Oreochromis niloticus: one gene and its partners. The protein of the gene in region 2 binds, or shares a complex with, the protein of the main gene of each other region. Links are inferred from orthologs where the notes say so. Each region holds a gene or a part of one and is shown on either strand. Other genes may lie near its edges.

The links.
Region 1: smc5 (region 2) and ndnl2 share a complex: the UniProt entries of both Homo sapiens proteins name them as parts of the SMC5-SMC6 complex. The link is inferred for Oreochromis niloticus from reciprocal best matches to the Homo sapiens genes SMC5 and NSMCE3.
Region 3: smc5 (region 2) and nsmce4a share a complex: the UniProt entries of both Homo sapiens proteins name them as parts of the SMC5-SMC6 complex. The link is inferred for Oreochromis niloticus from reciprocal best matches to the Homo sapiens genes SMC5 and NSMCE4A.
Region 4: smc5 (region 2) and nsmce2 share a complex: the UniProt entries of both Homo sapiens proteins name them as parts of the SMC5-SMC6 complex. The link is inferred for Oreochromis niloticus from reciprocal best matches to the Homo sapiens genes SMC5 and NSMCE2.

Annotation. Positions count from the first base shown.
Region 1 is NC_031984.2:1,639,426-1,646,511, reverse strand, and holds the start of ndnl2 (necdin-like 2), read right to left. Parts: upstream 3,023-7,086; 5' UTR 2,911-3,022; exon of another isoform or gene 2,885-2,910; intron 1,824-2,884; 5' UTR 1,811-1,823; coding exon 1,763-1,810; intron 132-1,762; coding exon 12-131; intron 1-11. Other genes in the region: si:dkey-150i13.2 (mitochondrial carnitine/acylcarnitine carrier protein), read left to right, coding at 5,821-5,922, 6,735-6,821, 7,003-7,086. UniProt on the Homo sapiens protein: Component of the SMC5-SMC6 complex, a complex involved in repair of DNA double-strand breaks by homologous recombination. The complex may promote sister chromatid homologous recombination by recruiting the SMC1-SMC3 cohesin complex to double-strand breaks.
Region 2 is NC_031984.2:20,747,958-20,754,846, reverse strand, and holds the start of smc5 (structural maintenance of chromosomes protein 5), read right to left. Parts: upstream 3,011-6,889; 5' UTR 2,916-3,010; coding exon 2,749-2,915; intron 1,654-2,748; coding exon 1,512-1,653; intron 1,200-1,511; coding exon 1,147-1,199; intron 932-1,146; coding exon 769-931; intron 679-768; coding exon 544-678; intron 423-543; coding exon 282-422; intron 181-281; coding exon 19-180; intron 1-18. UniProt on the Homo sapiens protein: Core component of the SMC5-SMC6 complex, a complex involved in repair of DNA double-strand breaks by homologous recombination.
Region 3 is NC_031978.2:22,361,978-22,369,531, reverse strand, and holds the start of nsmce4a (non-structural maintenance of chromosomes element 4 homolog A), read left to right. Parts: upstream 1-4,538; 5' UTR 4,539-4,575; coding exon 4,576-4,736; intron 4,737-4,800; coding exon of another isoform or gene 4,801-4,825; coding exon 4,826-5,052; intron 5,053-5,144; coding exon 5,145-5,225; intron 5,226-5,309; coding exon 5,310-5,440; intron 5,441-6,378; coding exon 6,379-6,524; intron 6,525-7,554. UniProt on the Homo sapiens protein: Component of the SMC5-SMC6 complex, a complex involved in DNA double-strand breaks by homologous recombination. The complex may promote sister chromatid homologous recombination by recruiting the SMC1-SMC3 cohesin complex to double-strand breaks.
Region 4 is NC_031976.2:11,176,945-11,184,935, reverse strand, and holds the start of nsmce2 (E3 SUMO-protein ligase NSE2), read right to left. Parts: upstream 3,022-7,991; 5' UTR 2,723-3,021; coding exon 2,608-2,722; intron 2,081-2,607; exon of another isoform or gene 2,066-2,080; coding exon of another isoform or gene 2,011-2,065; intron 1,917-2,010; coding exon 1,804-1,916; intron 1,178-1,803; coding exon 1,024-1,177; intron 159-1,023; coding exon 67-158; intron 1-66. Other genes in the region: washc5 (WASH complex subunit 5), read right to left, coding at 3,462-3,518, 3,795-3,882, 4,057-4,210, 4,452-4,548, 4,729-4,858, 5,034-5,137, 5,257-5,336, 5,410-5,512 and 7 more. UniProt on the Homo sapiens protein: E3 SUMO-protein ligase component of the SMC5-SMC6 complex, a complex involved in DNA double-strand break repair by homologous recombination. Is not be required for the stability of the complex.

The DNA of each region.
Region 1 (7,086 bases), about 19 Mb from region 2:
TTGTTCTGTACCTTTTGGTCGACCTGTGCAGGTGTGAGCTTCTCCAGCCCTCTCTGCACCTGTGATGTACTCGGCTGAGTGAAGGCCACGTCATCATCCTCGTCCTGAGCCACCAAGTTGCCGGTGTGTCTCTGTGTGGGAAAAATGTTGTCTGAAATCAGTCTCCATGAAACTCACTGAAACCCTCAGATTCTGCTTTCTTTTCTGTACGGTAACTTTGACTTTTATAGGCTGGCTGTGCAAAAGCTCTGGGAGAAGATGGAGACACGATAGGGTTCTTGCAATAATCGCCAAACGGACAGACCTCCAGAGGGTCAACGCCAAAAACCATCAAGTCCAACCAATCAAAGCTACTAGGTCTCAAAGAGAAGGAGCAGCAATCAATGAGCTCCTGGCCTCCATGCTGCCCCAAGCATCTGACTGCATCAGTCTGAGACGAGGTGGCAGTGACGCTACATTCACACTCAGCCTCCTTTGCTATGAAAAAATTTCCCGACAACGTCAGTGCCCTGTTTCTTTCAGAAGATCGGCTTGGAGCACACGCAACTTTAAAAAAAAATCACTGGGAAGAGAGATCCAGCAGCCGAAACCAGTTCAGGATGGTTATGGTTGGTCTGAGCTCGCAGCCGGAACCCTCCACAGGTCAAAATCTTGGCTTTGCTGCTACGCTTAGACCTCAAAGTCGCAGCCCGTATATTGATGTCAAGAAATATAACACAGTTTGGCCCTTAAAGTGACTTTTTCTGTTAGGGAGGATTTGTTTGTTGTTGAGTGCAATGTTAAAATACATTTTTCTAATGATTTAACATGAAGGTGATATGAGCAGAGAGCACAAACATGCTGAGGGATCGGCTGTGTTAGTTCAGTGAGAGTCACAAACTAATGTGAACATTTGTGTCTGTGTTTGTATTTTGTTACATACGAACAAAGTGTGTCTGTCCAGAAATAGAGGACTGGTGTGTTTATTTGGTAGTTCAATGAAATCTTCAGTTAGTTTGCAGTTTTGTCTTGTTATACAAAATTGGAATAAAAAATAAAAAACAAACAAAATGCTACACTTTTGGAAATATTTGTTTGTGTTTTCTTCTTGTTTGTTTGGTTGTTTTGTACTATTTGAACACTAAAGTGAGATGACAGTGCCAGCAAGTTTGAGACCCCTGACTTCGACGAAGTGCCGATGACCCTGAGGTACCCCGCTGAAGATGTGGAAGGGTTTCCATTAAAGTGACATTCAGACTACCTCACCGCCATCAGGGACCGGCCTGTTCGTCCAGCTGCTTCAGCGGTTTCTGCTCGTGGCATCTCTGATGTTTGTCAGCCTTTGTTTATGGAAACCATGCAAAACATTTTCCAGAGCAAACATCCAGAGAGCCGGAGCTTGCTTCTGTCCCTCTGCGTCACAGACATTAAATTACTGCACTTAAATCAAACTCTATATCCCATGATGCTGAAGCGCCTACAATTGGGACACGTGGAGTGGATGTAATATTAGTTTGGCTTCAGTTTTTTTTTTTTTTTTTAAACAGTAGTTACAGTGGTAATTATTTATCAAACTACTCCTGTGAATATTTCTTCCATGCAGGAAAAAAGATTCACAGTTTGAATCTTTTGTCCTGCGTGGGTCACTGTTTTCCAGCTGCAGTGGTTTTGATCTGGACGTGGTCTCGAGTTCACCACTTTACTCTAGCGCTTCTCATTACTGTAACACTGCAGACACTCGGAGTGAAAAGGATTTCTTCTGTGGTAGAAATGAAGGACTTACTCTCTGAGAGGAGCTCTGTGTGCTGGACGGTCTTTTCCTCTGCGTCATGGCGACACACCGCCTGATAAAGGAGACAGGTAGGGTGAACAGATGTCCCTCTTTAGGTTGGACTGCACAGTATTTTTCTTCCTGGCCCCCTGCGCCACATCTCGAATGGTTCTGCAGTACATGCACTTTTCTAAAGTCTGACTTTCACATACACGAAGGGGAGGCGGTTTATCATTATCTGAAGATGATCAGCCTGTCACCAAAGGTCATTCTGTTTGCAGCTTTGCAGGAAATTATGGTGTGAGGTGATACAGCATGTGCATCATCACTGGATTAAAAATGGTAAAACTGTCAGATGTGTCTTGAAGAAGGTTTGTGATTCAGGGATACATCCCAACTGGAACAGAGGAACTGTCACCAGACAGAAGAGCAACTGAAATAACAGTGAAGCCAAACACAATACAGGAGTATTTAAGGCCATGATGTATTTACAAAGGAGGAAAGAATTATTTGACCTCATTCCTAAATTTATAAGTTTGCTCTCCTACAAAGAAACAAACAGTCTAATTTTTATGGCAGTTTTATTTTAATAGAAAGAGAATCACCCACCCCCCTTCCCAAAAAAACCATTACATAAAAGTTATAACATAATTTGAATGTTATTGGTTGAAATATGGTTGAGGTCATCCTGTACCCTCTGCAGGAAAGCAGCCCACAGCATGTTTCAGCCTCCGTGATTGGCTGTTCCGTCTCACTCCATTAAAATCAAACTACTGTAAAAATCAGTTTGTTCATTTCTTTGTAAGCGAGCAAACCTAGTTAGATCTGAAATTTCAGACTCAGCGCTGACCTGTCCCACACAAACACAGTGTTTACCCCACATTCACTTTGTTGGGACCTGATCACCGTAGCTACACCGCGTGTGTGTGTGTGTGTGTGTGTGTGTGTGTTTCTCTGTGTGTTTCGGCGCGTTTTAAACGAGAAAGTCTACAGGCTGAACAAAAACAACAACCCGGAAGTGGCCACAGATCGTTTACGCGAAAAGCAGAGCAGAGAGCGTTGCTAACTACGTGCCCTAAAATACTTCACCCGGAGTTCCCGGGATACAGCGTGGCTAACAGAAGATTCACATACTCTGTATGTTTTAGAAGATGACTCACTTTGATCCTCCACCGGTTCCAAACGGTCAAATTCCCGCTAATGGGGCTTGTAGGCGCCTGCTGATGACGTCATTTGCACTTGCCGCTTTTCCTTTCCGTTTCATTCGACAGAAATGTCGTTGGTTTCAGTCATTAATTAAATATAAATTGATTGATTTTATTTATTTTTTCCCTGTGACAGTTTGAAGGTTTATTATATCGAGAAAATTATTTTTATTTTACAAATTCACCAGAATAATAATGTTCATTAGTTTACGTGTAAAAAGGGACTAATTTGCATAATTACCAATGAACAGAAATATGAACGTTTGATAAAGACATAAATAATCACATTGATATAACTTATGATTAAATTCATTGCACAGGAGGACCCACGTGAGGAACTACTGGAATTTATTCTACAGACTAGCATATTTAAAATGAAACTAACAGAAATCCAAGATGAGCTTCATACTTCATTTAGTTAAATTGATATATTTTTTCAGACCTCTGCACCTGTTGACTTTTCGTCGGCTGTTAGCTTCTGTGATTGGTAGGAAGAGCACATGTGTAATTTTGAAATGAGATTATTAACTTATAATAAAACTTTTTATAATAAGTTAAAAAGTCTTCTCGGTATTCCATTGGAAAGTGTACCAGCCTCTGTATGAGATAAATGTAACTGTCCATACTGAAGACGAAGCTACAGACCCTTTCATCCGACTATGAATACCTCCATGTCATCCTCTGGATGAGGAAAATAATTTCCATTATTATTACTTTTAAAAATTATATTTAAAGTCCCATGTTTATTGTTGCACCAGTCTGATATTCGAGAACATAAAAATTGCTGAAAAAAAAGTGTTTCAATCTTAGAAATTCTGGATTTGAACAGTTTCAAAAGTAAAATACTGTATGTACTTTTAATTCATCACCATTTTTAATTGTCATCTTAGACTGTTTATTTAGGCTAAACAATGTGCTACATGAGATTTTAGAGTTTTATTGAATAAATGATTTTATAGGAAAATATGCAAGTCACAGTAATTAACGTGTGAACAAGAAGCACAAACATCCACCGAGGCATCTCGCTCTCTGGGCAGTACTTACTGTTAAGGGAATAATATTCTATTTTTCTATAAACATGTAAGAGTGGATAACTTTGTAAACAACCGGATATGAATAACTTGAGGTTATTATATAATAATAGAGCTCTCTCTCTCTTCCTCTTGAAAATACTTTCCTTAAAGATTGAACACATTTTAGGATCAATAAAGGCAGAAATGTAAAAGTGAGGTCAGAGGTCAAATGTAAGACAATATTAGATAGATAGATTAGATTAGATAAAACTTTATTAATCCCTTGGGTGGGTTCCTCTGGGAAATTCGGTTTCCAATAGCACAGCACCGACAGAAGTTACAGAACGTGAGCAGAATACTATATATACACATATATAAATACAGACATATTTAAATAAAATATATGAAAGGGATAAATAGAATAAATAGGAATAAGAATACAAGGGAATTGCACATTTCAAGTATTGAAGTCTATTGCACCGTTGGATATTAGCAAAAAGTATTGCACAGTGAAGTGAAGAGGCACTGCAGCTTAGTTGTTCCCCCCTCCCTTGTCCTCCTGTTTCCCCTCCCTCTCCCCTCCAGAGAGGAGTTAAACAGTCTGATGGCGTGTGGGACAAAGGAGTTTTTAAGTCTGTTGGTTCTTGATTTTGGGAGAAGCAACCTGTCACTGAACAGACTCCTCTGGTTGTTTATGGCTGTGTGCAGAGGATGCCCAGCATTGTCCATAATGTCCATCAGTTTCTTTAATGTCCTTTTCTCTGCCACTGTCACCAGAGTGTCCAGCTATTAGGATGCAACTATGATGTGAGAATCCCCATATACCAGTATCCTTTCCTTCATGTAGCCAGTACGAACAAACAAGCAGAATCTTAAGCACAGTTTTAAAGATAAAAGACGTTTTGTCAAAGTTTGATGTTATTTGACCTTGAATAAGAGGTCAGAGGTCCAAAGTACCACAATATTTACAATCCCCATATATGATTCCCTATTTTTATCCACTTCCTTGTTATTGTTGTCAATATAAACAATGTGAATGAGAAGTTTAAAATAGCCCTATACAGCATTATCATCATTTTGACCTTCAGCTCGATCCACTGACCTTGAAGGAGACGTCAAATGTGGCGTATTTTATATGTTTTATGTTACTTTGTAGATCTTGATGATACATACCACACTTTTGGGAATCATAGTTTCTTTTGGCCATTTTCCACCAATAACTCCTGAAGATGACCTTGAAGACGCTGGTGGATGGAAGCTGAATTTCAATGGACGGTTAACATGACGCCATCTGCAACCCTGCAAAGTTTGATCTGAATTTATTCAAAACTCTCGTGTTTTCAGATGGGATGACACGCAAACACTGCCGAAAGCAGAACCTCCTCAGCAGAGGTAAGGAAGTCCTTTCAGCAGTGAAGGACCCTCAGGTGTACTATTGCAGTGTAGTATTTTTACTTTGGACATTATTAAGAAATCAAATCTTTCGTCCTGTGAACACCAGAGGGCGCTGTCTCCCCTGTTTCAACCTCACCTGTGAATACACCTGCGGCAGATTTTTATGAACTACAAAAATATAAAACGCAGTGGTTTAAAGTGCGCCATATGACTAAAGCAAAGAGTTTATGGACATGTGAAGGGGTGACTGTGAAGATAAATTATTTACAGGAAAAAACTGTTCTTCTCGTTTCCGCTCAGCTCTGAGAGACAAAGTCCACGGAGAGACACACTTAGACACACACAGACAGACCCACAGACAGACAGCTGACAGTCGCACACTCCCCTCCCGGGACAGCGGCGGTGTGAGGTGGTGAGGTTCCCCGGCTGTGTGCTCGGGCCATGCGGGGTCAGCGGGATGGAGGAAAAGCCCAGAGTGTCTCCGTTCAAGAACTTCGTGGCTGGGGGTGTCGGAGGAGCGTGTCTGCTGCTGGCCGGACACCCACTGGACACCATCAAGGTGAGAGCTGCAGCCCCAGCCGAGCTTCAACGCAGCTTATTTAGATCTTTAGACACAAACATTCAGTCCACGTGTGTCCGTGTGGGGGGGTTCTCAGGTGTTTAATGTTTCTGAGGAAGTCACAGGAAATGTCAGAGATCGTGTAGGTGCTGAAGAGATTACCGACAAATCAGCTTAAACTGTTGCCGAGGCGGCCACCTGAACACGGAATAATGAGGCTGCTCAGAGCCTGCGGGAGACTGTCGAGGAAATGTCACAGCGTGGGTACAAAGTGTGCAGCTCAAACTCACGAAGTTAAAATCAGATTTATGACATAAAACAAAGTAATGCCATGAAGCATCACATTTATTGAACACATCACAACAATTAGCTGGAAACGTCTCATTATTCTCACTATAGCATTTTCACCTTTTTAAAAAACAAACAAACAAACTTATAACTTAGTTTTTTTAAGTAATAACTGCAAATGATTTGTGTAACTTTATTATTCACATATAGTAACTTTGAATGTGCAGAAACATATCGTTACAACATGTACGTTATTTTTAATCCAGATCTTTTTCTAATCTATCTAAACCACGTCAGTGTGTTTGTGTGCGACACACTGAGTCTTTGTGAAGATACAGTTTGATCACATCATCATCACAGTAACCGTCACATGAGCGCAACACCGCCCTGTTTATCGGTGACAGAGCAGCAGATGTTAGTGGGTGTCTCCTCCTGTCTGACAGCACTCAGCAATCCTCCTGTGTGTGTGTGTGTGTGTGTGTGTGTGTGTGTGTAATTCTTCTTATTTAAACTGTGTGTTTCAGGTGAGACTACAAACACAGCCCAAAGCCGCTCAGTATGTGCTCTACACAGGAACGTATGACTGCTTACGCAAGACCGTATCCAAAGAGGTGAGCGCTTTCTGCTTATTACAGCGGACAGTCACACAGACCAGAGCCAATAGTCAGCTCTGTTTTCAACATGTGACACATCAACTGAAGTACAGACACTTCAATAAAAACTAGAAACTCATTTAAAATCTTGTGTGTGTGTGTGTGTGTGTGTGTGTGTGTGTGTGTGTGTGTGTGTCAGGGCATCCTTGGTCTCTATAAAGGTATGGGGGCTCCCCTGGCAGGTGTGGCTCCTATGATGGCCATCAGTTTCTTTGGGTTTGGT
Region 2 (6,889 bases):
CAGCCTTTGATTTGTCACCTTAGCCTTTATCTGTGCCTCAGTTGGCTTCAGCTGCTCCTCAATCTGTTGGATCTTCTTCACCATGGGCGCCTGGGTCTGCTTTAGGCTTAAAAGCTGCTTTTTCGCCTCGTCACGCTCCTTCTTCACACCCTCAAGTTCCTTACGTGTGGTCTCGTACTCCTAATATCACAAGGAAACAGAAACAGCTTACACAATTAATTCAGTTTCTCTCTCCACATGTGTACTGTGCTCATTTCTCTTGTTTACACTAGACCACTCACCACCCATGGTTTCTTCTTCTCGAGCAACTCGATTACATCCAGATGCCTCTTTTTTTCGTAGTAACGGTTTACATCGTGTTTATTCCTTTCATTTCGCTGCTTGGCTTTCTCCAGGAAGCTTGCTTTCTCCTTCACAATGTTCTACAAAGAAGCAAAGAGCCATGTCGCCTTTACATGTCTTTAAGAGGAGGACAACTTAAAAAACAAACAGGAATGAATGAACATCAAACTTTGCCTGTTGGATCACTAGCTTTGAGCTTACCTCCAGTTCTCGTTCTTTGTTGCGGAAGTTTTTGAGCTCACAGTGGTATTCATACATCTCTGGTGGGCCCACTGACTTCTCAGTTGCTTCCAGCAACTCAATTTTGGACATCTTGGCAAACTCGCCAACTTTTTCCTGCATGGGGAAAAAAAAGCCAATAAAACAGGGATAAAACTACATATTGCTGCATCTATGCAGCTTTATGTTGCAGTGGCATAAACATACCTGAGGTAGAAACTGACAGAGGTTGCTGACTTGGATGCGCAGAGCTTTGACTTCCTCTTCCACCGCCTTCTGGCTGCACTGCCGATCATTCAACATCCACAGAGACTGATTGTTCTCCGCATGTATCTCTCTAAAAATCACTACGTTACCACCTCTTTTGTACCTTCAAAAACAAAAACAAAGTGTAGCATTTAGAGTCATATAACTATGCTGAACATGATAATGCAGGTGATGTAACAACTTCTGACAAATTTTCCTTTCATTTTTGAAAAGATGAGGGTTCAGAATTCAAACTTCTTGTCTGAAAAGATTCATGAAGAATTTCTGAAAACATGTAAAGAGTAATGCAGCGTGTGGAATGTATTTCACATAACTTACAGTTCAATTTCAACATGGCCTTTTTTGCAACCACGCTTGACATAGAGCCCAACCTTTAAAAAAAACAAAACAAAGTAACATTCAATAATTATCATCATCATCATCAACAAATGCAGTATCTGCTATGTGAGCTCAATTCAAAGTATCATATTTTGACTGATAAAGGGGCAGGGAGATGAGAAACAACAGTACATGTACTGCAAAAGGGCAATGAAAGATTTTCATAGAGGTATGCTTATCACCACCTACAGCTTGTTTACCAGTCTGCTAACATTGTGTTTATTTTCTGATCTTTTGAAAAGAAAACAAATCCGAAATAACTTTGGAGTGCATCAATCAATGACTTGTATTGCTCTGTGGCTTACCTTATCACCTCTGCCAAGAACAGCTGTCTTGCCAGCCAGACACAGACAGATGGCACACACAATGCTGGACTTTCCAGTACCATTGGCCCCGACAATCATGTTCAGATTAGGTCCAGGATACACCACAGAGTAGTCGTACGTCCTGTGAGTACAAGGTAGACAATCAGGGGTTTCCTGCAGTGTTTTAGAGTAAAGATGCTCCATCTCGCCTAAAATCATTGCAATCTACACTAACAGTACAAATGAACGTAGTAACGTAAAAGTGGCAATACTGCTATCTTACACTTCAAATGGCTGTCTGTTAGTGAGACCTGAAGTTTCATACATACAGTACCTGTTCATCTGCTCATACTGCTTAAACATTTGTGACAGGCAGACTCAAAGTGAAATACCTATTTACAACCACTCTTATCCCTGCACAGTTACTGCAATTTTGGAGGCAAGTTGACAATAATGCAAATATGTATTACAGATTAACTAGTTAATAAATGTAGAATAGTCTGTATAACAATGAATGTTTACTTAGTCTGCCATAATTTTCATTAAAAAACTTAGAGGCAGGTATGGATGACAGTAAGATGAGAATTTATACCAGTAACTGACTCTTGGTTAGTTTTCTGAGTGGAAAAGAAGCTCTGAACAGGTTATCATCTACCGCTACTTATCATCTGTGAGTGTGAACATGGTTTAGAAACAGACTGAAAAAAGGGGATGTATGCAACTCGCTGTTAAGCTCCACTGCCAGACGTTTGAAGTCCTGTTTTTTTATACAGAATTTATAAGACTGAAGGTACAGGATTTTTATTGACTGGCTGGATTTGGCACTTTGCTTTAAGCTAGAGCTGCTTGTGATTCTCGCCCCCCTTGAAGTAGAAAGCAATGGAAACATAATGAGTCATCATGAGGAACCCCTTCTTTAATATATCGAGTCTATTTTAACACCCGCCTTGAATGTGACCCCTTAAATCGTACAGTTAGCTCACTAAAATACCTCATTTGGACTTAACTGTAGCTGCTGGACCATATAGTCGGTCTGCAGCAGCTTCCCTCAGTGGGTCTACGACCTGCTCGTGTTTACAGAGCCCAGGGTTTAACTTTTAATCGCATACTGGTGGCAAATGTTAGCATATATGCTATCTAGGTCATCTGGCTGTAGCTATCAGCAGGTAAATCGGGGTGTTCCGGCAGTTTCAGTTTACAGACGTTGACCGATGACAACTGAGGAGCAGCAACTTACAGGAAGTTCTTCATGGTGATCCGAAGTATGGATCCCTCCACATATCGACCCTCCCCCTCGAGTCCTTCGTCCTGACTGTCCGTGAAAATGCTCGATAAGCTTTTACTCGAAGTTTGTGAGCTGCTGTTAATGTGACTGAGCCTCTGTCGTTTGCTGGGTTCGGCCATGGTGACCCCAAAAGGGAACCCACAAGACAACCATGCACGTTCACGCACACGGACAGACACCTCGCGCGCTTTGCCCAGTTGCTGCTGAAAGCCGGTTGGACCAAAAAGATCACGTGTATACACAAAGGCGACCACAGCGCCAAAGCTATCGCGAGATATGAATTTTACCCATACGATGACAAACGTACAGCATGCACCTAAAATGTTTGATTTCCAAGTGATAACATACTATATTAGAAAATAAAAGGAAAGTAGAAAATACTCGAAAATATAATTTAACACGTGCAGGTGATGCATGTTGTGTTAGCGTTAATACGAAAGATTTCTAATGAAGTTCGCAGTTCAGTTATAGGGAGTTCTAAATGTTATTATACCCTATTATACCTATCTATGTATCTATGTGTATCTATGTTGACTAGTTTCCCCTGAAATGCAAACTGATACTGGTCCAGGGAGGATTAGTATGATGGATTAGTGCGAACTCATACAGGTGAGAGTTTAAAAAAAAAAAGTGTTAAAAGGGTTATAGATTTGAACCAATACAAAAACACGCTTGTTTGGTTAATTGGTGATTCTGAAGTGGCTTTTGGCATGATGGTATGATGCTTACTCTACCCATGGAGTGCACCACCTTTCACCCAATGTCTTTGAAAGGCTCCATGAATGGATGAGAATGCCAACATGACAGCTGAGCTACGGATTAAAGAGTTTTCACACCAAGGACATGAAATTAGTGAAACAGATGAGAATAAAATGACACCAGATGAATGTCTGAACCTAGTTATGTGCCACTATCAAAGTGGTAAAAAAGTAAGCGCTAAACCTCCATCGCACTGTGCAGCTACAAGTGTCATGAGACCATTGAGACAAAAGTAAACATTTGCTCTCTTAATTATCTTGTACTAAAAACAAAGAAGCTCTGAAGAAATTTTCAAGTTATAATTTGACTTACTTACATTCAAAATCATTTGATATAAGAGTAAAAGCTGTGAAATTCATTTAGTCCTAAAATACAAATTGTAGCCAAAGTGGAACATTTTGAAAATTCGAAAAGTGCCTAATGGGCTTTTTCAAATTAACATCTCCACAGGTCAAAAACAGAAATGTCAAGGCAGTTAAACTGGTCAGAGCAACCACTTAACACAAAACTAATGCAATTTAATTAGTGGTAAACTAAAATGCACTTTAAAGGAGGTCATAGTGCTGATTCGGGGTTAAAGAACTATGCACAGAGAAAGACAGTATTTTATAAAGAAAATAAATACACAAAACGGCAATTGTGTTTTGTCACTTTATTCGTTGGATGATAACTAGAGCAGATTTATCATATTTAGTTTATATGTGGGGATATTAATGAAACCTAAAGGTTAATGAGACTCCTGGAGGCCCCAGGTGAGGTTTCCTCGCTGGCCTGAGACAGCTCCATATTCAAGGCACTGATTTCTGTGCCAGAAGAGTTTCCAATAAACTTGTTGGAGGCGTTACTGAAACACTATTTTCCAAATAAGGTTAAAAGGTATTTTATTCCTAAAGACTTTGAAATGGAACGAGTAATCAAAATTAAGAGTTATATCTCAGACACTCACCTACATAAAGTAAAAGAGCTACATTGGAAAATTTTCCAACATTTTGCTAGTAACCTTGTTTCGCCGTAAATGTAAATATTTTAAAGCCAAGCTCGTTTTTTTATTTTTGGAAAAACAATTAAAGCTTGTACAGTCAATCTTTGAAAATAAATACAACAGAAGTCAGCCCTTAAATGATCTTCATTACTTGATTGAATTAATCCGGTATAGCTCTGTTCCCACTGTCCCCCTTTCCCTTTGAATCGGTCGCTTTAAGGGAGAAAAACTGCTTTTGACTGAAGAAGCAACTTTAGGACTAACACGTCTAACTGTTTTTGTTTTTACCAGGAAAACTAGCGTTTCGTAAGCCTAGCTTTCCTGGTATTTCCACAGCTTGTCTTAACCGTTAAAATAAGCAGTATGTGACGAGCAGCCGTTTCTTTAGGTCGTGTTCCTCCACGGTTCCTCCTGCTGTGGTTAGATCAGAATCGCCTCTGTACTCATTGACCACTGCGAAGCTTGAGATGAACTCAAACTCTCACAGAGCTAGTATATCTGATCAATTCATCACCTCTAACCACGGCACGGAGCGTGGAGGCCCTGAAAGTTTCTGCCGGCTGCACATCGCCACGAAGGCTCGCGAGCGCGTTTCCTATCATCTCCGGTCAGAGCAGAGCCACCTCAGACCGGATCAAATAAGATCAGTGTGTAGGTTTTTAAAATAAACACAGACACGACACAGTCACACATCATTCACGCACTCACTCACTCACTCAAACACTCGACTACTCATTCACAAGCCATTCAAACTATGAGGAACACGGAGCTTCCGCTTCCGGTTTAAAGCCAAAAGCCGCATGGGATTATGGGACATCGACTCCGACGATTATTGATTATTTAGCGACATCACGTGGCCACCAGTAGTAACACAATATACATAAAACAAAATTATAAAACCATCACCCAAATCCCCAAATATATTTCATTGAATTAATTCAAATGTAGGTAAAGCTTTTTAAGTGTTAAAAGGTCTTCATCTTCTTCTGGGATCACCACAGCAGATCACCTGCCTCCCTCTTACACTGCCCCTAGAATCCTACTGTGTTACACCACCCCTCTGCATACCCTCCTTCACTACATCCACGAATCTTATCAGAGGTCTTCCTCTTTTCCTCCTGCCTGCCAGCTCTATATTCATCATCTTTTGTCTTTCATCCATTATCCCTGCCCAAACCATCTCTAAAATTGTTTCCAAAGCTCTCAGCCTGAGTTGTCCCACTGACGTTATTTATTTCTAATCCTTTCCATCCTGATCACTCTCAGTGAAAACCTTAACATTATCAACTGGGCCTCCTGTGTTTTTGTTAGTCCCATGATCTTCTCTCACTACCATCTTGCAAACCTTCCCTTTCACTCACTGTGCTCTACTTCTGTCAGAAATCCCCAACACTCAACCCTCCCTGCACTCTCTTCTTCACCTCTCTTGTGCAATGTCTGTTGCTTTGGATGGTTGATCCCATAAATTACTTCCTTTTACCATTATTTGCTTTTACCATGGTAAAAGCAAATAATGGTAAAAAGAGAGCGAGAGAGAGAGAGAGAGAGAGAGAGAGAGAGAGTTATGTAAAATAAGTTTAAAATATATTTCATTTTGTTCTTGCATTTTCTTACTTCCTCCAGTTAATCTTACACTCCTGAATAGAGAAAAATTGTCAGAAACTTCCTGTGGAAGTTTTTGTTGGTCTTATATTATGTTATGTAATAGAATACTTTCTAACTGTTCCCTTTGGCAAATTCTGTGTCTTTATGAGCCAGCAGAATATTATGCTGTTTGTAAACTTATAATAATAAGAATAAAGATTTATTTTAAAATATAATATATAGTAATCTATGTATGGAAACTTACATATATATATATATATATATATATATATAGATATATGCTGGACTATATATATATATATATATATATATATATATATATATATATATATATATATATATACATACATATATACATATAGATAGATAGATAAAATGTAAAGTATGTAGACTAAACCTCACCAGATGACATTTCAGCTTTTATTTATAGAACAAGAATAATCTACAATCCATTCTTGTTCTTGTTTAGTGTTTATGCCACAGATACATTTAACATAACTATAATGGACCTAACAATAATAAATAAATACAAAATAACTTGTTTTGTAGGGTATTTGTAAGCTGAAACACAGAAATAGATACAGTATGTGGAAGTGTTTGTTTCCTCAGAACTCATTAAGAAAAGACTGTGCTGTGACTATACATACACTGATACACACTTAAATACATGCAGTGTGCTGTATGTGTGTATCATCATAAGTCTAACCTGAATAAAGCTTTTAGTCAGTCTTGTTTTTTAGTAAAACA
Region 3 (7,554 bases), on a different chromosome or scaffold from region 2:
AAATAGGCACTCTGGTGGAGTTACTTTCTTTGTGTGTGTGTGTGTTTACAAGTAGGTTTAAACCTTGTGATCCACAAAACAGCATAACAGTAAAAGAAGAACTGACTGTGTTACAGTCAGTGCGGGAGCAGCGGCTTCGCTCATGCGCGATTCATTTGCAGTTTGGACACATACTGTAGGTGTGAACATCTACTACCCTGATAGCAGCAGCGCGAGGACTATCCTTTGCCTGTGAGCGCTTTGGCACGGGCGAGGTGCCCACGGCAGCACCCGGTGCTTGTTGAGAGTAGGAGCGATACGCGCTTTCATGTCAAAAAGTCATCATAAATAAGTCTCCAATAACACCAGAAAAAGTCGCCAGATTTGTCGCTAGTCGCTTTTTAGAAAAAAAAGTCGCTAAGGGGGTCTGAAAACTCGCTAAATATAGCGACAAAGTCGCTAAGTTGGCAACACTGCCTTGCCCACGTTTCTCCCTGCCCATAGTCTCTCTCATACAAAGCGGTGGGGTGACCTCTACTGGCCACTCTAAAAAACTACAGGTGAAACTAACAACTGAACAGAATAAAACCATAACCACGGGGCCTTTTGTACAGTAGTTGTTGATAGTCTTGCATAACAGCTGTAGGTCCACAAGTTTTGTCATTAAAATACAGTCAGGGTAAAAACAGCGTACATTCTGTACCACATAATCAGGACATAATAAAAACGATCTAGCCTGTACCAGGTCAAAAAAAGTCCATAAACACAATCTGAGGTGAACAAGAACAACTCATTAAATATATTATACCTTGTCTTTATTTATTTATTTAGCAAAAATAAAGCAGAAATGTAGAAGCAGCACGTGAAAAACTATAAATATGCTCCCACGAGTCAACAGCTTGTCAAAGCAGCAACAACTCGATATAAATGTTTTGTTTGTTTGTTTGTTTGTTTTCCTTTTTTGGTCTCAGTCTCTCGAGGGGTTACGAAGGAATTTTGCCCACTTCCACTGAAAGAGGAAACGTTACCGTTTAAGTCTGCATTCACAAAGAAATCCCCTCAGATCGAGTTTTATATAAAACTTATACTTTTAAAGTCACAATTTAATTCTTTTTTAAAGAAAGGACAATAATAATCTGATTTTCATTTGTGACATTTTGAATTGAAATCATATTTTTTTGTCATTTAAAGCACCTTGAGGCAACTGGTGTTGTGATTTGGCGCTGTATAAATAAAATTGAAATGAATTGAAGACTTGAGACGTCTGAATGATCTTGCAGAAATAGTGGTGCTATTTTCCAACAGAGTGGACCTAGAGCTGTTATGCAAGACTATCAACAACTACTGTACAAAAGGCCCCGTGGTTATGGTTTTATTCTGTTCAGTTGTTAGTTTCACCTGTAGTTTTTTAGAGTGGCCAGTAGAGGTCACCCCACCGCTCAGTAGACTGGGATTTCATAGCTGTTGGCGAAACAATGTGAGGAAGAGCCCAAAAACTGTGGAGGTAGAGTTTCCCCAACTGTTCACGGTTGTTGTCTGGATTATGAAGTGAAAGAAATAATAATAGTTCGCATAAACAATAAGAGGACAGGACATCACAGATAGTAAAATCCCATTTTGATGCCACTGTCATCTGTGTGAACCATGTTGGTGTGTTGTTTTATGGAGTTTCAACAGCAGCTCCACCTCTATGATAGTTCGATTGAAGTGATCTGAGGCCATTAAAATGAACCCTGTGTTATACACAAGCAACTCAACTAAAAAAGTCATTATATATGTTGTGGATAGGCATAGCTTTGGGTCACGTGGTGTCGGTAATAGTAGTAGTGATTGCTATATCACCTGTTCACGGCTCGAGGGAATTTTTGTGAATGAGTGGGTGATGGGGGAAGTCGACTTTTGCTAACCGCTCAAGCCTAGAATGTTTTGATCACTGTTTTTCTATAGATTTTAAGGATTTGATAACAAATGAAGGAGTTTTTAACCTGGAACTTTGAACAGCGGGCGCGTCAACATTATTCCCCTATTCAGCTGCTCGGCGACTCAAAGGCTTGACAGTCGCCAACAATATTTATTATGCCATGTCTTTAAGTATTTATTTATTTACCAACAATAAAGCATAAATGTAGAAGCAGCATGTGAAAAATTATAAATATGCTCCCACGATTCAACAGCTTGTCAACGCAGCATGTAAATGATGTTTGCCTCAGTCTCTCAAGTCGTTTTGGCACACTGAAAGAGGAAAAGTTAGGCTTTATGCCTGCAAAACTTGTACTTTTTAAGTAACTATTGAACTTTTAAAAAAAGAACGAAAACTAATAATATACTTTATTTTCTTTATTGTACACAAGTCACACGTCTGGATACCGACAGCGATGTCTTAAGACAGATATGTTCACTATTATTAGCGCACCATCTGCCGGTGAGCTCCTGCCTAGTCTGCTGAAGTTAGTTTCATATTTGACTAAAGAAACTGCATTGATTGGTTGTTTCACAGTAAACAAAAAAGTTGACTTTGGATTAATAATCTATGGTTAAAAAAAAAAAAAAAAAAAAATTATACACAAACGTCGTTATTTTAAAACTCGCCCTATTTTCACTGCCTTTCAGAGAGAATGAAAGGCAGTGAAAAAAAATATACATACATACACATATATATATATATATATATAGAGAGAGAGAGAGAGAGAGAGAGAGAGAGAGAGAGAGAGAGAGAGCGCGATGGATGAGCAGTGGATTTGCAGCATATAATTCAGCAGCAGACACAACTCTTTTGAAGTTAGACTTCATTCAGTATCAGGCACTAAGACTCTGCACAGATGCATTTAAAACAACCCCAACAGCAGCGTTACAGGTAGAGATGGGTGAGATGCCACTTGGAAGCAGAAGACAACAACTAACACTTAATTACTGGGAAAATCCACAGGGCCATGGACAGGATCACCCAACACAACCTTGCTGGGAGAAAGAAAGGTGGGTAACAAAGAGCTTTGGATGGACTTTAGGTAGAAGAGCAATAGAACTTAAATTGGACCAGTTCAAGATCAGTCAAAGATTGGCGTTACCAGCAATGCCTCGATCGATACTTTCTGATGCCACCGGGGATTTCACATTATTTGAAAAGAAGAATAGGGATGGGGCATTTAATTTAAACTCACACACAGTAGAAGCTTACATTGACCAGCATTATAATTATGTTTAAATATATACAGATGCATCAAAGAATACAGCCAGTCAAATTGGTGTAGCATTTGTTGTCCCAGAGTTCAAGGTCAAAATAGGTAAAAGGATCAATGATGGAGTGTCAGTATACACTGGAGAAATGCTAGCAATACTGTTAGCTGTTCAATGGGTAAGACATGAGACCGTTAAAAACAGCCATTTGTTCAGACTCAAGCTCGTCATTGGTCAGTTTACAGTGTAGCCACTCAGAACGTAGAGCAGATATCCTAACAGAGGTTCAGCAGACACTTTCTATAATACACATGATGGGACTTAAAGTTGTGTTTCTATGGAGTAAAAGCCAATGAATTGGCAGCTAGAGCTGCGAAGGAAGCCACAAAACATGGGGTAGTTGACCTGGGCATTAGCTTCGGTCAGACAGAGATTGGACGAGTATTGGAGTATTGAAGAGTATTGGACGGCAAGAAATGAAAAAAAGACACCAGAAACAGTGGGAGTAGGAAAGGAGGGGACGGTGTTTGTACAAAATTCAAAGGAGGGTAGGAAAAATGAGGAGGTGGTCATATCGAGAACAAGATTTGGACATGCTGGACTACACTATTCATGATAAGGAAACATAAAACAGGGAAATGTGACTACTGTGGAGAAGGGGAAACGATAGAACATGTCATCTTACACTGTCAGAAGTGCAGGTGGAGAGAAGATAACTGACCCAAAACCTCAGTAAGATAAAAATGAAACTAGATCTTATTTATTTCCTGCAAAAGGACTCTAGAAGTAAAAGTTATCAGGTCTTATTCCAGTTTTCAAAAGAGGGTAAAGAGGTGTTTGGGAGGATTTGAGTTGGGGGGTTTTTTAAGCGACGTTCCAGTCAACACTCCATACCAGTTGGTGGCGGTAATGCACCCTTCAGTTGTTTGCCAACCGCCAAAAAAATTTAGAAGAAGAAGGAATCCAAACTATCTTCGTTCATGACGACTTCTCTGACATCCAATTGGCGCGCCTTGTGTACGTTTGCCTCACAGGTACGTTGAAGCAATTATAATAAAAACTGCGCACGGGTGGATTAGTGACACTCACAACAGGCTGTGTATTTGCTTTTAACCAAGACTTTATTTGGCCGTGGCAGTCAAACGTCCAACAGTTGAGCTAAGCTAAGCGGCTATTGCTTTTGTTAGCTAACGTCGGCTAACGTTGAACATCAAAGATGTACACGAGTAAGGCGAGATATGTAACTGTGCAGGACTTCCGCGTTCGCGTTTGCAGGCACGAGAGGGTTCTGTTTTGTTATCTGACCTGTTAGAGCTAACATGACATAGTAGTCGTTTTCCAAAAGCAACTGTATGGTAAAATTTGCTAATCTGCATTTTATATTATATTTGGGCTGGGTTTACCACGTGTAAGCACTAGCATATGCGGATTTATATCTTGATTTTTTTGTGTCTTTGGCTAAAATTGGAGAAAACCCGTGTGGCTACGTTAGATATATGTACTAATAAAACACCGAGCATCTTGACAACCGAAGCCGTAAACAGACCGTTTCTGTACCCTGTCTCCAAGACTTATTTTAGAAGGTAATAAATAGCCCTGTTCATCGATAGAAACGCGCTTTGTTTATGTTTATTTGATTTCCGTCAGCCTGCTTCCCTTTCACAAAACACAGCCGAACTAGTGCGAGAGTGAAGATGAAGAGATCCAAAGGCGGTGGTGACGAGGAAGCTCCCCGGCAGAATGGCTCAGCGAGCCGAAGGAAAGCAGACCAGCAGCAAAGTGACGGGGACGAGGGTGGCAGTGACATCGGCCCAGCCGACCTGCAAGACGACGACAATGACCAGGGCCTGAGGAGAGAAATCAGGAGCAAATACAGAGACCTCATCAGCTCAGTGCAACGTGAGTGGCAGGTTTGGGGATTGCCAAAGTTGTTGATTTGTATGTATTCCAAACAAATCCTTGATGTTTGTTCTTCTTGTTTTGTTTTTCAGAGAACAGGGAAGATATGCTGAGCCCATCAAACAACAAACTAACAGAGGTTTTAGAGGAAGCAAACAAACTTTTTAAAGATGGTAGGTCTGATACATGCAAATGAATAACAGGCCAGCAGATCAATCATTTAGACCTTACAGTTTTTTGGGGGGTTTTGGTGGCAGTTCGACAGGCGAGAGAAGCAGCCCTGGATGCACAGCTCCTTGTTGTGGCTACAGACCTGGGGAAGGAGAAAGCCAGCCAGCTGTTCTCCGAGGGAACCGCTTTCGATCCCACTGCTTTTGCTGAGCATCTCGTGAGTATGATTACTGTATCATGTCTGTCCTTCAGTCACCTTGCATGAGTGGTCCATACAGACCTTGCAGTATTTCTGTCTGGATTTGCAACTCGAGCTGCACATGCTTTTGTTTTACCTTAAGTTATGTATGGTTAAAAAAAGGCAAGGAGGGCAAAACAAAGCTGACAGTAGTTTGTTTAGTGGACTCATTTGATGGCCAGACACAAACCCCAGTAATCATGAAATGTTAAATATGTGTCTGTAGGGCTGTGCGATATGACGAAATATATCGGATGATAAAATGAAAACATCTATCGTTTCATATTATACGCTATCATTTGTTTCGTGGTGTCACAAAATACACTGTTTATGGCAATATTTTTTTCGTTGTTTGGATGGTCATCGTGTGGATGCAGGCACAGAGAATACCAGCAGAAAGAGTATGGAGAGAGTTTACGGATGAGAAGCAAAAAAAAGAGCTGTCAGGTGCTCAAAATAAACCTTAGACTCAAACATTAGAACAGGCTTTTACCCGCAGCACGGCATGTAATAAATACAAAGGAAATTGCAGCCGTTACAACTTATATCTAAAAATATGTAGTTTAATGCATTGGTCCAAACACTCGACTCCAGCTGAAAACACTTCACACAAGTCGAGTTGCCCGAGATTCACAGAATTTACAGAAAATGCACTATTTTGTCATATATATCATCGGGATGAGAAATGTCTTATATCGGGATATGAGTTTCTGGTCATATGGCACAGCCCCTATGTTTCTTTATGATAACGCGTTAGCTATAGCAGCTTTGTACTAGTTTTTTTTTCCTGTTCATTTAAGTGAATAATACAGACACAAATGCTAATAAATGTAGGAAAATGTGCTTTTTTTTAAACACAACTTTCAAAGCATCACATACTGCAGTGGTCATGTGGCGATGTCTATGTTTCTCTACAGTTGTCGTTCATGGGTTTGAACCGACTAGAAGATGATGAAGACGAGCAGCAGACCACTGCTAATGGCTACCTGCCGCAGGATGCCTGGCACCGATTGGCCAGGAGAGCAGAGTGCTGCTTTAGGACAGCCCCCTCTTTCCACTACATGTGAGTGATTTAGAAAGTCTGTTTACTAGCTGGGACCGCAGTGCCAGGGTTTTTGCCTGCCAACTAAAAATAGACTGATGTTCTGTGAAGAAGCAAATTAATAAGACGGAAGCTTTCTTGGGACAAGCACACGTGGTCTTCTGCCAGTCCATAAAAGTAGAATAAGTGGTTCCAGATTAGCTGCCAGTAATCAAAGCATCCTTGAACAGCCCTGTGCCTTTTCCTACAAACTTTTCATTTCTCTTAATTCTTTTTCTTTGAAATTATTAAGCACAGGAAGGATGTAAAGTAGAAAGATTTGGGAAAGGACAACCACAGTCCTAAGGGTATCTGTTTGCACTTACACTAGGCTACTTAGTAATGTAAGGCTGAGGGCTGCTGTGCCGAAACTACAATATTCTGAGATAGAACTACAAAAAACAAGTCTTAGACACGTCTTTGCACTTTGCATCCCTACCATGTTGTGCAATTCTTGGTAAATGTGGACAAACAGGAGCAAAATATGACAACTTGAAAGACAACTTGTGCAACTGGGTTACAGTTAAGCTTTAACTCCAGTTTGACCATTTTAATGTGTCTGCTTGTTTATTTGCGAGCAGTTTTCTAAACCCACTTTGCATAGTTTGCCACAAGATAACACCTAGGGGTGGGCAATGTAGCCTCAAAACTTGGTTTTGAAACTCCAGCAACATGTGTAGTATAAAAAACACTTTATTACTTGACCAGCGTCTTCCTGGGATGATGATGATATTAGACTCACAATATTGTTACATGTTGAGCACTTCATAAAGTTGGCATGTTGGGATGTTGTACCTTGGTCAGGCTTTGCTATAGTTTATACTGGGATAATATACTTGGCCAAAGAATATGTAAAGACTTGAGTCATTTTCATCCACTGTTTGCTCCTCCTGTCACATGGAGTGCACCTAACAAGTGCTCGAGTGATGCCAGGTTGTGTCGTTTGCTGTCATAGCCTGGGTATACTCAACTTTGTACTTTTGTCTTAAACAAAACAAGTTTATTGTTTCTA
Region 4 (7,991 bases), on a different chromosome or scaffold from region 2:
AGACAGAGGCATGAAAACACACTGGATTAATCTACCTGTAATCTACAAATCTAATCAGTAATCTACCTGTGTGAGTGGGCAGGTGAAGTTGACTTGACTCTGTGTCACAGCGATGTCCTCATCGAGCTCCTCCATGCTCTCTGCTGACTCCTGGTTAGCTAAAAACAAACAATGCACATGCAGTTTGCTTCCATTTGTCCACTCAGAGTAAAAAAATTAATCAACTTGATAGTACGTACCACCATCCACCAACGTTTACTGCACACACATGCACACCCCAACTTTATACACAACATCTTTTTTTTTTTAGTCTGCAAATAAATTTCATATCTACAGTTGTTGTCCTGGCACATCTACAACTACTGAAGAACTCAAAGGCTAACTTGAGCCCAAAGTATTAAAAACTGCTCTCTATATGTGGCCTTTGTAAACTTCTCCATATGATTATGCTATTCAACATATTTATATTTCAGCCTTTAAGCAAGCAGATCTGAAACCTCAAAATGTATCCCTTAACAGGAACATGAAGTAATACTAATTCAGTGAATAATAATGGTGTTCAATGGGCTAAGCCCTCACAGAATACACTGCAATGATCACCTCGGCTCACAAAGTTCATGCTTCAAAGTAAGTTCTCACATTTGGCTCTTTTTTCAGACATTTTCATTTTGAGTCAGCTCGTGAAAATAACATTATACTTAGCATAATGTAGCCTATAATTCCTACAGAGACTCACAAAAGCATGGCACTATATGAGGCCGGCATAGCTGTAATTAGTAAGAGTTAAAAAGCAGAAAATAACAGCCACAGGGTGACAGGGAAACAATCATTCAACGGTAAACAAAGGAAGCTGCGTGTTTTAAAATGAAGCTAATTATCCTAAAAAAGGCACATCCCAAGATCTCTCTGCTCAGCAAGAAGTCCTCCGATAGCACTGCTATTATCAAAGTCCATTAGAAGTCCTGAATGCACTGCGGTGAGTCTAATTCAAGTAAATCTCTCCCGTCTCTCCACAGGCCTTACCTTGTTTGAAAGAGTTTTTGACACTTTCCTTGAAAGCCATTACTTTCTGGTGAGTGTGCAGGTCAGCATCAGAGAGTCGGGCTATTCTCTCTGTGAACTGCTCCTTCACTTTGGCAGACAGGCTGAACATAGCCTCCGGCTGTTGAGTGGTAACCTACAGTGATTGAAATGTGTTATATAATTTGCAATAATTTGTATTTAATTCAGAAATGCTTCACAAATGCCCAAGGTTTGCGTCTTCTTCTGAACATAGTGTTAAGAGTTTTCCAACTCATCGGCTACGTCACCATGGTGACCTATGCTGCACTCTGCACAAGATTATGTTCAGCCATTCCTGACGATGTGATCTAACCTGCTGAGCTGTATGTTAGTAAAGGCAGAATCAGATGCCGCTGAACAATGTGTGTGTGTTGTGGTCCCATGGCACACTTTCTGCTCTATTCCCCATTATCACTGAAAATATTTAAGTGCTGAAAAAATGTCACTAAACTGACTTTTATATTGACTCCATTATGAGTCATTATGTTTATAACTGTGTCACATTTAAGAGCTCTAATGTACAGCTCTCACTTTATGCAGAAATAGCAGCATTAACAATGCAATGATTATTTAAAGACAATAATGACATGTTCCTCTTGAGTCAAGTAGGGATCACCTGATGGGTCTACACTACAAATGGTGCATCAAAACTTTCTATACAATGAACAAAGTTTAAGCACACTGTTGTAATATCCGTTATCTCTGTCGCCTAATGCAAGGAAACCTTCAGGCTGTTCTCACCTCAGCTGTGACTTGTTGCACCACATCAACAAAGTAGTTAATCTCCCTGTCCAGCTTGGCACACTCCAGAATCATGGCCTCCATCTCTTTGATGCCCGGGTTCATCTCGTCATCTTTAACATAAAAGCACACCAAAGAAGTATTCACTTGAGCAGTCACACCATAACACACACGCACACAAACAGCTAGCAGCTCTTTGGGAATCACCTTGTTTGTGCAAAAATCCTATGTAATGTCTGTCCAATTGTGTTATCTCTGGCATTCTTCATAGATTCAACTAAAAAAAAAAAAAAATGTTACTAGCCGCCTGTCGCAAAAACACAAAGTGCCTAATGATACAACTTAAAATCAGTTCTTTGCTAAGTTATTTAATATATGTAGACATGCCACTGGGTTCCTTGAGGTAGGTGCATTCTGTTTTTTAATATTAAAGTGATTCATAGGTCCGTGTTCAATGGCTTAACAAAGAATGAAAAACATTCCTAAAAAATGGTCAATAAAAAAGCAGTCAATGTCCAAGGAAAATCCTTGCAACATTTCCAGAAAGCCCAAAGAACTGCTGCACAAGACTATTTTGAAAACATTACGAAGGTCTGGCTCCTTTTTAGCCAATGATGGGTAGCCCAAGTCTTTTGCAAAGTACTTTAAATGTACGCTCCAAAATTAGTTATAAACCTTAAAAACAAATCTAAAGCACCCAAAAACATTAATTATTCGCTTACCAGATATATTTTAACGTTTATAAATAATGTAGTGATTATAGATGGAGTTGGTGAGCTTTTTTAGAAAATCTTTAATATTTACCCTGAGCTTCCGCCAGGTCCATAGCCACGTCTGTCACAATGTCCATACCTGTCCCGATGTCAGCCTGACAGGATTTCAGACTCGACAGAGTTCCGTGAACAGCGCTCAGAGACATTGTGAAAGCTACCTTTATTACTTTGGGACTACAAACCAGAGCTAAATTTAATGTGCTATTAACGATAACGTTAGCCTAGCTTGCTAACAGGTATCTAGTTCTGCCGGCAAAATGACCGACACCTACATGAACGTCAAGTACAATCTGTTTCAGTAATGCTTTTAGTATAAAAATAACAAGCGAAACGTAAATAAACTATAGAAACTGTGGATGCTATACAAACGCACACAAATCACCCGCTAAAACGGAGCCACAACAGAAGCTAACTTCTAACTTCCGGGTATGGTTTTTCAAAGTAAAAGCTTTAACAAAATATGTTTAAACGGAAGGAAAACAAAACTGCTTCTTTAATAGAAAGAAACGTATTTATTAATCCATTTCATTTATAAATGGCACAGAATCTTAGTACATAAAGTTGTAAGAGTGATTTATTTGCATTTTAATGTTCTTTTAATTTACAATCTGTAAGTGCAAGACACTGATAGTTAGCACAATGAAATGTAAGTAAACAAATCAAAAGGCCCCACATTTGACATATCACTGTAGAATAGGCACAGTGAATAATAATAAAATAGTATTAATACCTGTGGTCACGCTTGCTGGAGCACTTAAACCTAACAAATCAGTTGTTAATTATTAGTAACACCTGTGCAGTCACTACATTGAGACAAAATGTCTGCAGTGGAAAAACATTCGGCAAAAAACCCGAATGTTTAAATGAAAATCTTCATCCATATCTTCACAGTATTGTCCTGAACTCATCAAAAATATAACTGGGCACATGAGCTTCCGCCACCTTAAAAACACAGAAAACACAAGGAAATACATGTTACTGTTACACAAATATAGTACAGTACAGATGCAAAAAATAGTATTTTAAAATCTGTTCCCATAGCTGATGGGTATTAAATCTGGCTGTCCAATAATAATGCTCCTAAGCATATTGATGTTTCAACATTTCAGCTCTACTACTACCCCTGGGTACTGTCAACTTTGTCAACTCTTATCATTTACAACCACTTAAAATATTTTCAAACACTAATACAAATAATATAGGGAAAGTTGCACCTACCTTACGTGACAGTTTTGTGTACTTCACGTAGTCTTCAAGGAACATCAGAGCTCCCACCACATCAGAAGGCATGTCAGGGATTTTCTGACTATAACAGGATCAAACGGAAGCTTTAATATGATTTCATGAGGCTATAACCAGATACATTTTATGTCCGGTAACACAATCCGCAATCATCACCAAGGAAACCTACCACACAGAATATTTGATTTCGAATCTTATTTTAGAAATCTTTCTGAAGTTGTGAAGTCTGTTTTGCTACCTTGTGCACTGCTCCATGATTGAGCGGATGAATTGACCAATGAGAGCCAGGAACTGTTGTGTGTATCTGGAGTGGAACTGCTTGAGCAGGGTGAGCAAGCCGAGCACCAGTGGAGGCCAGTCGACCGGGTCTGTTGCTTTCCTGCAGGTCATTCCTACCATAAGACAAAACATCAAATTAAAACCACATTCAGAGACATTCAGGGACTGTGCGTTAGCAGAAAAATGTGGGGAAAAACAAATCCATAATATTTAATGCCGCTTTCTGAAAAATAATAAAGTCTGCTGCAACTGAAGTAAGTGAAGAGGCGGCAAGGACTGACCCATTGTACTCAAAACTGTGTAACCTGATCTCTGATCAACTTCAAACAAAAAACTAATGGGGGAAAAAATCACCTTGGTTTTTGTTGTACTGAAGTTTAGGCAGCTGAGCAATAATAAAGAGGAAGTTGATGATGGGGAAGTACGGGAGGCGCTTTGTAGTGATGTAGATCTGTGTGAAGCATAAGTAGAACAAAAAGAGTCTGAACACGAACATCTGCTAATGTATAGCCAAAGAAAGCAAAAAACAGCTTACATTTGTGGTCGTCATTGAAAAGACTCATTTCGATTCAGGTGAAATCAGAACAAGACTAACTGATTATGTGGGAAGAGATGCCCCTTCTGTTCAAACCTTGTTGAGAGGATTGTGAATGCCAGCAGCCTCCAGGTAGGCAGTGATATCGTACAAAAGAGTGTTGTCCTCTTTAGGATAAGGCAGGGATGGGTCCTGGTAATGGGCCTCAATGTCTGCCAGCAGAGACCTGGCAAGAACATAATCAGAGTGAGCATAAAAGAACAGTGTGAGACTAAAACAGACATGATGCAATTAGCAGAAGCATCCATCACAAAAGTCATTAACACAGAGTAGCACTTGGGGGTAAGTAATGGAAACATATAAACAACGACTCAGTGGCATTATGGCAAGAATATACAGACTTGTTGAGGTTTTCCAGTGCAGCCGCCAGGTGTTTGGAGTCAAACTTGCAGGAGTAGTTAAGCTCATTAGCGATCTGCTGTCTGAGAATCTGCATCTGACCAACCTTCAATAAACATATGCATTCAAAATTATTTTATTATTATTTTATTATTTTCATCAGAAAATTGTGACAATTTTTTACTTTTATTTTCTATTCATTAACATGAGAACATGGAGCAGTACCTTCATGATGGCTTCCTGATATGTACCCCAGATCTTCTGGGATTTGGCCACAGCACTGCTGTAGACTTTGCTGGCATTTGCTACAGCAACAAAAACAATAATGAGATCTGTACAAGAAAAGGCAGGTTATAGATTCTCTAAGTGAATACCTACCCACAATGCCTTGGACTGGACTGACGGCACCTTGCAATGTTCTGAAGACCTCCACCACAGCTTTGTCCTTCAGGATGGTCTTCTGAAGTATTGTCAGGAAGTTCTGATGAGACAAACACATACATCACTACAATCTGGGAGCCATACCACATGCACTAAAGACACTGCCAAGATTGACATGATTTCAGGGTTTTATCTTTGTTGACCTGAATGGCATCTTTTTGGGGGGTGGGGTGCAATTTGGGGGGATACTGAGGTAAATATTGGGGTAAATACCTGAAGTTCCTTGACAATCATGAAGCAGAGCAGGCGGTCCAGTCCGTTAAGGCCAAATGTACCCAGGGTGTTCTGGATCTCAGAGAACAATCTGTTGTTAGTCACCTCCTGGTGGCTCTTCAGGTCATACCAGGTGTTCATCTGGTCAATGTAACATGTCAACCTATAGGAAGAACCAGTGTATTCCACCATCAATAAACTGCATAACCAAAGATTTTTTTTCTCCTCCATCCTCAGATATAAACTCAGTTATTCTGCTAATTTCACTAACTCTTATTTCACTTCCACTGTTATGTCCGATGAGACATACTTGGGATCAGTGATTCGGAGGATTTCTCTGCAGAGACGACCGATGAAGGTGGCAGACTCATCCACAGAGGGAAACTTGGGAATAGGAATGTGGGTGGACTGGTGCACACTCTGCCAGTCCTGGATCTGAAGAGAAGCAAGAAACAAGCCAATCAGCCAACTGCTATTACTGAGAAACAGCCAAACAACTAGAACACTTCTTATCTATCAGTCAGGGACAAACTGCTCTCAGTGCACTACTCAGGGAAAAGGAGAAAGCGTGTTAAGTTTGACCTTGGTTCTGAGAAAACTGTTGCACTCCTGTTCCACATTATAGTTGACGATGCGGGACACTTCCTCCTGCCAGATTTTAAGGCCATAAATGCTGACGTAGTCCTGGATGTATTCAAACGACCTGTAGAAGCCATCCATGGTGGCGCCCATCTCCTTCAACTTGGGCATCAGTTCACTGGGCTGAAAGAGTTGAGTATTTTTTCTCTTTTATTTTATTTTACTGCTGTTAATCCTTCAATATCATTGGGAAACTTAACATGGAAACTGGTCAACATACAGAATATATATTACAAACTTTAACTGAAGATTAAAAATCCATAATATACAGCAGGTGTAGTGTCTCACCTTTGCCTTTGGATTGAAGATTAAGCCTCTGTGCAATGCATAAGCCACCCTCTTCACCAGCTCCTTCCTGATGCCATCCTCCAGAAGCTGCTTAGGATCCACCTTAAACATCACAGTGTGTTAATAAAGCAAACCTGTACTGCACCAAATCCCTCAGCAGGATTGTTTTAATCTTCTGAAAGACAGAAATCTTTGTTCTCAAATTTCAGAAACCTTAATCACTGTATTTACCTTGATAATCCCAACGAGAGTAGTCTTCATCATTAAAATGCCCTCAGTGAAAATAGATATGTCATGAGTTAGTTTTGCCACCTGCAAAGACACAGAACAGAACGATGTTTAGGCATGCAAAAATATAATATATATATGAATAATATTGATGTCAATCATTGATATAAAAGCCAATGTTTTGATTGATTTTCAGTTTAAAAAACAAAAAAAGTTCCATTCTACAATGATCTTATTTTAATTTCAAGGCACTGGACTGCAATTCCAAATATGACTGAAAAAAAAATTAAAAAGTAACTTCAGTACTTCACACTCTAATTAATCCAATTCAACTAAGTCTGCTGGCACAATCTGTTTCCATATCACGCTTCCTTTTCCAATTTGTATTTCACATCAAAAGCTGTGAGCAGATTGAAAAATGTTAGCATGATTGCCTCCGACTCCCATACAGCTGATGAGGCGAGATCAAAACAGAACAAAATGAGCTCTCTTATCTATTTTTTTTTATTATTTTATTTTATACAACATCTGAAGATATTTTTTCCCTTTTCTTTACGTCAGTGACATTCTGAACATAACTCAAGGGGAAGGAGACAGTTTCATACACAACAGTTTGTCTCACTTCATAGCGAGCCGTCAGTTGGGCGTAGTCCTTTAGCTTGTCCTTATCCAGCCGTGTGGGCACCTCCATAATGTCGTGGATCTGAAGCTTGATTATTTTGGCTAGCGAAGTGAACATGCTCTCTGGGATAATTTGCAGCACCTGGAAGCAAGACGATTTTAAAAAAAAGGACTGTTTATTGTATATCCATTAGGTCAAGGATCTCAAGTATAGCCAGAAGGAAAAAATCTTCCAGCATAAAGTTATAGCTCAGAAGTTGCCACAACGTCAAGGTACAGATGCACTAAGCACTTCTTAGTGGGTACATTTGCCAAACAGATTGTTTCTCAAAAATTCATCATTCCTGCAGCTGCTACAGCACTGATACTGAAAAACGGTTTGCAGCACGCAGAGCTCATTTGTTAAAATTATGAGACTACACACTAAGAGAATATTAGACCAAAACATTTCAAAGCAGAAGCTTTTGTAAGAGGAAAGAGAAGCAGAAAAAAAATGACATCATACACTACCTTTCTCACATAGGACACCA